Linked DNA regions of Sus scrofa. The protein of the gene in region 1 purifies or fractionates together with the protein of each later gene. This does not show direct contact. Links are inferred from orthologs where the notes say so. Each region holds a gene or a part of one and is shown on either strand. Other genes may lie near its edges.

What was found. The genes of interacting proteins can lie anywhere in the genome.
Region 2: the proteins of BTF3 (region 1) and CTNNB1 purify together in Homo sapiens (affinity purification with mass spectrometry; 3 studies listed by BioGRID). This does not show direct contact. The link is inferred for Sus scrofa from reciprocal best matches to the Homo sapiens genes BTF3 and CTNNB1.

The regions. Positions count from the first base shown.
Region 1 is NC_010444.4:82,659,343-82,663,088, reverse strand, and holds the start of BTF3 (transcription factor BTF3), read right to left. Parts: upstream 2,599-3,746; 5' UTR 2,484-2,598; exon of another isoform or gene 2,378-2,483; coding exon of another isoform or gene 2,246-2,377; intron 1,903-2,245; coding exon 1,834-1,902; intron 1-1,833. UniProt on the Homo sapiens protein: When associated with NACA, prevents inappropriate targeting of non-secretory polypeptides to the endoplasmic reticulum (ER).
Region 2 is NC_010455.5:25,163,473-25,167,218, reverse strand, and holds the start of CTNNB1 (catenin beta-1), read right to left. Parts: upstream 2,925-3,746; 5' UTR 2,777-2,924; intron 2,753-2,776; coding exon of another isoform or gene 2,332-2,752; intron 1-2,331. Other genes in the region: basic proline-rich protein-like, read left to right, coding at 2,332-2,752. UniProt on the Homo sapiens protein: Key downstream component of the canonical Wnt signaling pathway.

The sequences.
Region 1 (3,746 bases):
TCACACATTCCACAATATGTAGCTTTCTTAAAAGGTGAGGAAAATGTTTCCATATTACAATGATGACAGAAACACTTTTTTGTCTTTTCTAGGGGTGCTCCTGCGGCATATGGAGGTTCCCAGGCTAGGGGTCTAATAGCAGCTGCAGCCACCAGCCTACGCCAGAGCCACAGCAACGCAGGATCCAAGCCCCATCTACACCACAGCTCATGGCAATGCCAGATCCTTAACCCACTGAGCAAGGCCAGGGATTGAACCTGCAACCTCATGGTTCCTAGTCGGATTTGTTAACCACTGAGCCACGACGGGAACTCCAGAAATACTTCTTATACTAACTAAACAATTAAAGTTTAAGCCTACATCGGTCTTAAGAATCCCAGAAAATCTGGACTTTCCTTTACCCTAGAATGTCTCTCACAAGACTAAAGATCAGAGTAACGAAAAAAGAAGGCACACAAGCCTATTAGTCAAATGACTCCTTCTAAAATCTGCACTGAAAGGAATGATGGTTAAAAATACCAGTATAAGAGCATGCAAACACTAACCCACAAAGAATATGAGTTCTCCTGGCACTCAAAGGCCACATCTAATTTATAATAATTGCTAAATAGAACAAGAAACACCTACTGTTGTTAATGGGTAGGTGCTGATATTAAAGACCAGCTTCAGTGAGGGGGAAAAAAAGGGGGGGTCCAATACTTTCACTGCTGGAAAATCCTGTAATTAACAGAGGTACAACTTATTACTTAAGTCTAAGTGCAACTTCTGGCTATTTCACAGTGGACTCTATTTGAAGGTAAATGTCTACAGCTGGGAAAAACTAATAGATAATAAATTTTTTAGTATGAAAACATTACAAGTTTTATCAGGTAAAGACATGCTCTGTTCCAACAGGCTACCACACCTTGTTAAATACTAGGAATGTGCTAACACAATGTGAAATACAACTAGGTAGACTTCTGTCTTAAGTGAACTTTTAAGTAAATTAGAAAACCTGAAAACTTACCATGTTCAAAAAATAAACCCCCTGAAGGGGACAGTAGCCACCAGGAAAAATCAATTAACTAAAATCTGAGCGATTAAAAACCCACCATTCTCATTCCTTCAGTTTTAGTGTAATTACAAAGTTAAAATAGAAATATATCTGCTTAGGCAGTATTTCCAAATCCACAGTCATCGCTCTTATATCACAAAATGTACCTATAAAAATGACATTTTCAAATATCCTGGAAAATATACAACTACTCTAGGTTACATTTAGCTAAGAAAGGACCACAGAAAGGCCTTAATTTACAAGAGACGTGAACTTTCAACTATTAAGTAGTTATCCAGAACCATACACTAAAGTTGAAAAGATAGGTGATACTTAAATTCAGTTAGCATAGTTACTAAAAAAAAAAAATCAAGCACTAGCTATATATAACTTAGGCTATAAAGCCAATGACAAAACAAGTCAAGGGTATAACTGGCCACAATGATGATCTAACTGAAATGACACATTTTCTTTCTTATTAAATCAGACCTTTTGTTCTACCTAAAACACTGTAACACTGAAAAAAAAAAAACCTACATAAAAACAAAGGCTGCTGTTTAAGTGCTCTCTTCATCTCTATTCGCTTGCATTTTTTTCTTCTAATTTACAACCTGTGCCTCTCAAGGATACACTACATTGTATATCTAATCTAATCCTGCCACTCCCTTCACTTGATTTGCTAGCTGTGAAATGCCCTCTAGAGACAAAGTGACAAGCCAATTATATTAGAAACGCAAAAGAGGAAAAAAATCCTAAAGAAACAACCACAAACAACCTCTCCCCACACTATGAAAACTTACTTTCCCACCAATGCGCACTTGTGCCTGCAGTTTGGCGAGTTTCTCCTGGTTCATGATAGTTTCTTTCATCTAGAAAAACAGGAAACCCTCAGCGAGGAAAAGGTCTAGTGCATTCTAGCCTTCCATGCTCGTTATTTCCCAAGGCACCAGCAGAATAAATGTCCTACACAGGCCGAGGCCTGGATCCCAAACCCACCCGCCAAGCTCCCAAATTTCCGGTTCGAGGGAGCCCAAAGCGCACCCGCTTTCCTATCCCTCCCCCACAACTCCTCCCCTCTTTGCTGGCCCAGAAAAAGGGCTGTAACCCACGCCTGGTCAGCGCCCCAACCCCCACCCCCACCCCGGCCCCGGCCCGGCCTCGGCCTAGCCAGGGCCTGCCCAGCCCGGCCACTCTCCGCAAGCCTCGCGGTACCTGAGGCTCCTGTCCTCGGGTTCCGCCGCGAGGTGGAGGAAGAGACGGCGTCGCCTCGCCCCCAGGGCAGCCGCCCCTGGCCCGACCTCGACCCCGAGAGTCAGCCTGAGTGGGTGCGCCTGTCCGTCGCATCGCCTTCCTCTCCTCAGCCCTGTCCCTCCCTGTCTCGCTCCTTCCGGGCACTTCCCGCCCCCGTTCCCGTCCTCCTCCCACGCCGGCGTCCAGAGCCTTTTTGTACCTTGTTGGAGTGGAAATGGGGTCGCGCGGGGGACTAGGGTTGGCGCTCAGGAGGTCTCGGGCAGACCAGCTGAGATAAGGCGCACACACGCGGGGACGCAAGATGGCAGCTAGAGGGAGGCCGGAAGTGACGCAACGCCCCTTCCTCCAAAAGTCAGGAAACAGACTTTGCCGCGAGCTCAGCGCCTGACTGCGCACGCGCGGGCTCAGGCCGCCGGGTTTGTGACCGTCGCTTGTGGCCCTCCTGTCCTCGTCCAGCACTCGCCGGGTGGAGACCGCACGAGAGACTGGGCTGGAAGCACCGCGAGTGGCCCTAGGAAATGCTATGGAGGGGTCAGAGAGCACGGTGCTTTGCACAGTTAGGGATGAGTAAGTCAGCCCTGTGTCCTTGGGCCAGAACCCCGAGTCCTTTCCGAAGAAAGGGCCCGTCACGTTTTCAGAAACCATTGAGGCGCCCCGAGCGTGCTCATCTGTTTCGCCGCTCTCTGCTCGCTGGGTGGTGTAGGTTGCAGCGATCATTGGAATGTTTTATTTAGAATTCCCCCTTCGGCCCGATTGAGCCTTTACCCAGACTTTTGTGGGAAAAAAAACGACTGATGCTTTGGTAGGTTGCAGGAACAGGTTCAGAATTTCTGGGGAGCGTTTCAAAATGCAGACCTGAGCCCTACTTCTCAGCGATTCGGTCCGCCTAGGGATGGGACCGGGTAATCTGCATTTCAGCGAGTGTAGCCAGTGGCTAACCACCTTAATCCAATGAACATGATTACCTTGCTTCTGAATCACAAAAAGTTGACTCCCTGATACCAGGTGGTATGGATTTGATGATTAGTGATTCACAGTTGAACGAATTTTTCCTTTCTTAACTGAGTAATTCAAAGGAGAATTTGTGCCCGGTGTGTATGGGGAGGTTAACCTGATGGAGTTAAAAACTTCTAAACACTAGGACAAGCTTTAAGATAATCTTAAAACAACCGATATTAAAAATGGCAGTTTAGGAGCTCCCAGGTGGCCACAGTTGGTTAAGGATCCTGCGTTGTCACTGCAGTTCCTCCGGTTGCTGCTGTGGCACAGGTTCAATCCCAGGTTGGGAATTTCCACATGCCAGAGGCGGGCCTGAAAAAAATACTCATTTTTTAAAATGGCACTTGAAGTCATAGTGCTGTCTGATCAGCTTTTTTATGGCCTTAGCTATGAAAATCCTTTGTATATTCAAAACGGAGTCAGAAATCTAAACTAGAGAAAATAAAGCGAGAAAACTTGGGTA
Region 2 (3,746 bases), on another chromosome or scaffold:
ATTAATGTTTTCACAACCACTGTCACACAAGTCAATAATTTGGAGCACTAAAGAGTTGCCAATACTTTTTATTAGAAGGTGCCCTGCTCTAAATGCATTCATCCTTTTTTGTCCTGGGTTGGCAATCAAGCATGCTTCCACCCTAGCTCAAAGTACAAACTTAAAATTTACCACCTACTCCTCTACAATTATTATCAGTAACTAGTAAATCATGAAGAGAGAAACAAAATCCTATTGTAACTGGATAGATGTATTATTTCAATAACACAAGTTTCACTGGCTGAAGATACTTATATAGTCCATATCTAGGGTTTTAATCTCACTGCTACTTTTAATGACAGAGAATCAAACTTTTGAATTCTCCACATCCCCAGTTTTAATAATACTTCTGCTCCTCTTTTCACCCCTCCCAATAAAAAAAAACAGTATTTGCAGATAGTTTTCCTGAAAGACCAAATCTCAAAATACCCTTAGAGAAATATGCCTAATTCATGTTTTCCTTCCTATGGGGGGGGGTGGAGGAGGGAAGTATCTATGAAAACAAAAATACACTACTTCACTTACATGGATAATTTTTATTCCAGTCATCACTGGCAACAGTAGGAAGTTCAATTCAGCTTATGTTTTAATACTGGGATCCATACTTTTCTACATAATTATCTTGGTAGAGGAAGTAGTCGGATAACGTTTCAAAAGAAAACTCTTGAATACCTATTGACACTTGAACACTGCTAAATGTTTCTTTTTTGTCCTTTTTTTTGCCACTTTATTTTTAAAAATTGGTTTTTCCTGAAAGCTATCTTAAATGATTATTCTAGCCTATGGAAAAATCTAAGCCTAGAACTCCACAAGGGCTCTAAGCTACATGCTATACTAAACTTTCTAGTTTAGTTTTTTTATTTCCCCCTCAAGGACCTTAGACTTGAATAGTCTCAGCATTCCTTTAATCCTATAGAAGAGTCTTCTGCAAGTTTTTCGAGTTACTGTTGCAATCACTTTAGGGCCTTGTACATGGCCTTTAGAACAAAGACTAGGTCAAAGTAATGAATATTGGGTGCAAATTAATCAAATTTTGTGCAAGGATATTCTCAAACGTTAATGGCACTTTTTTTTTTAACCCAGAGATTTTGTGGGTTTAAATGTAAAAGTAAAATAAATGCAGCCATCGCCTTAGTTCAGACAAAAAAAAAAAAAAAAAAAAAAAAACCCACAAAAAACCCTCCAAAGTATGTTTTTGTCACTGATTTAAGCAGATACTAAACAGTAGCATTATGGTAAATAATATTTCAAGCTATGTCCAACATTTCTGAAGACAAGTTAAGGTGAAGATAGCTGAAGGTACTGAATGCACACCAAGGGACAATAACGAAATGGCTTCCTAAGTTCCAGACAAAATACTTTATAACTCAGCGATCTGAAAAACATCAGTCCAGACTTTATCAAAGGCTAGCCGTCGCTTCAAGTTGCTGTCTAGTCTAAGCCACCACTATTCACGACACAAAGCTCTCGTTTCACTAAAACCACTCCTCGATTTCCTTTTGCGGACCTCTGCATACCAGCAGGCCAGTCTCCTCATTCACCACTCACAAACTCGGGGGGGAGGGGAGACCACAGATGTCTGGAAGATACAAAGTAGGAGACAATGCTCCCTCCAACAGGGAACTGAAAACGAAGGAATCAACTACACCCAACTGCCAAAGCTTTCAAGTTTAGCGGATCCAGTAGCGGGCTTTGAGAACTGAACTTCGAAACTGCATTCCAAGTCCTCGCCCCAGACAAAACACGGAACGAAGTTGCAACGCTTGAATTTCCTTCGGGCAATTTCGTAGCGAGGGAAAAATTCATCTCGCTGGAAAGTGCTCTCAAAATCAAGTTTAGCTGGCATGAAATTATCTAAATAAAGAATTTCCACGAACAAAATTCTCGAAGCAGTCAGAGGCTGAGTCCGGCGGGTCACTTGGTAAGAGACAGTAAGCCAGTCGCCCTCGCCCTTATTTTTCCCAGGACCTTCCTTGCACACTGCTTTCACTCACCTGCACCGTACAAGAAAATAAAGGTGCTAGATATGGATTTTATTTGTGCAACTCCTCCTGGAGCATCGCTCCGTCTGCAATAATAGTTTGGATCCTCTACGGTTTAAAGTTGCTCCGATTTAAACAGGAGCCAAAACCAAACACACCAGCAGAGCATTAAAATAATACTAACGATTCTCTTAATTCGTCCTTAAGCACGAAAGAGGGACTCTGAAGAGAAAGTCTACTGGTCCTCTCCTCATGGCAGATGGGACCTCGGGTCCCAGGCCCAGCGCCTGTACCCCAACTCCCCTTGAAGGCCCGGAAGGCGGAGTCCCCCGTCCCCACCCCGCCCCCCACCCCGGCCCCGGCGCATCCAGAGGCGCAGGGTCCCTCCCCCAAACTCGGCCGCGGCCGGAGCCCGGGACGGAAACCACAGACCCCCCTACTATCCCCCGCCAGACAACGGAGCTCCCGAACGCGCCCTCGCGGCGCCCCCTCCCCGCAAGCGGCAAACCCGGGGCCCCCAAAGAGCCGCGCGACCGGAACCCGGGCCCGGCCGCCGCCCTCCGCCCCTCGGGCCGGGCCCGCCCCCGCCGCCTCCCCGGCGCCCCCAGTCAGCCCCCAGCTCCCCACCCCGGCCCTCCGGGCTGCACCGGGCCCGGCTTCCAGCCGCCGCCGGGACCGCGCGCCCGCGACGAAGTTTGGCTCCGAAGAGGAGCGGGAGCAGCCCCGGAAGGGTAAGGAAAGGAGCACCCAAGCACCTCAGGGGAACAGGCTCCTCCCGCCGCGGGAGTCCGACCGTCCTCGGCCTGCGGTGGCGGCTCGGCGGAGACCGGAGCTGCTCCTCGGACCTTCCTCCGTCTCCGCCTCCCCTCGCTCTCAGCTCCCGGAGCCGGGTTAACGCGGCTGCCACAGACCGAGAGGCTTAAAATGGCGCCGCACAAGGAGCTCTTATAAGTCGCGCAGAATCCGCTGTATCCTGCCGCCAGCGGCGCAGCGCGGAGCGTTCCGCCGCGCGAGGACAAGGGGCGGGGCGCGGGCGGGCGGCGGAAAGTAGTCCCCGCTCCGCCGAGCCGCCCGCCTCGGGCTGGGGCGGGGCGCTTGCGAGCTCTTCGGGCGCTCCCGGGGGTTAGAGGCCGGCGGCTGCCGGGCCGCGCGGGACCGCAGGACAGATCCGCCAAGGCGCTGTCGGCCGAGATGGGGCGGCCAGGGCACCCGCGGGCCGGGATGGGCTGGGGGAGGGCGACCCCGAAATTCTCCACTATCGGGATCCCGAAGCCCCCCGGCTCTCACTCGTCCAGTGCCAAGAGAGCGGACGCTGGACTGGCCGCTTGCTGCCCGTGGGAGGCGGCACCCGGACCCCGGCCCTACGAGGCCGAGCGGCACAGGTCCCAGGAGGGCGGAAGTTCGGGACCGGGCCAACCGCAGTGCTGAGGTCGGGGCCCGCCCGCTCCCGGCGCTGCCGGGCGCTGCTGCTGCCCCTATGCAAGTCGAGGGACCCCGGCGCGATCGTGCTTTCGCCGTCTTTGCGGTCTGGGCCCCAAGCTCTCTGCAGGACTTGGCTCCTAGCCGAGCCGCACATTACCTCCACGGTCTGAATCGTAGATTCCGCATCCCTACCGGCTTGAATCTGGAAGTGAAGTACCGGGCCGAGCCTCCTGTTAACCCAATCCCAAAGACTGAACTCGTGTTAGAACGGGCGCCTAGCCCGCAATTCAACAAGTCCTTAGT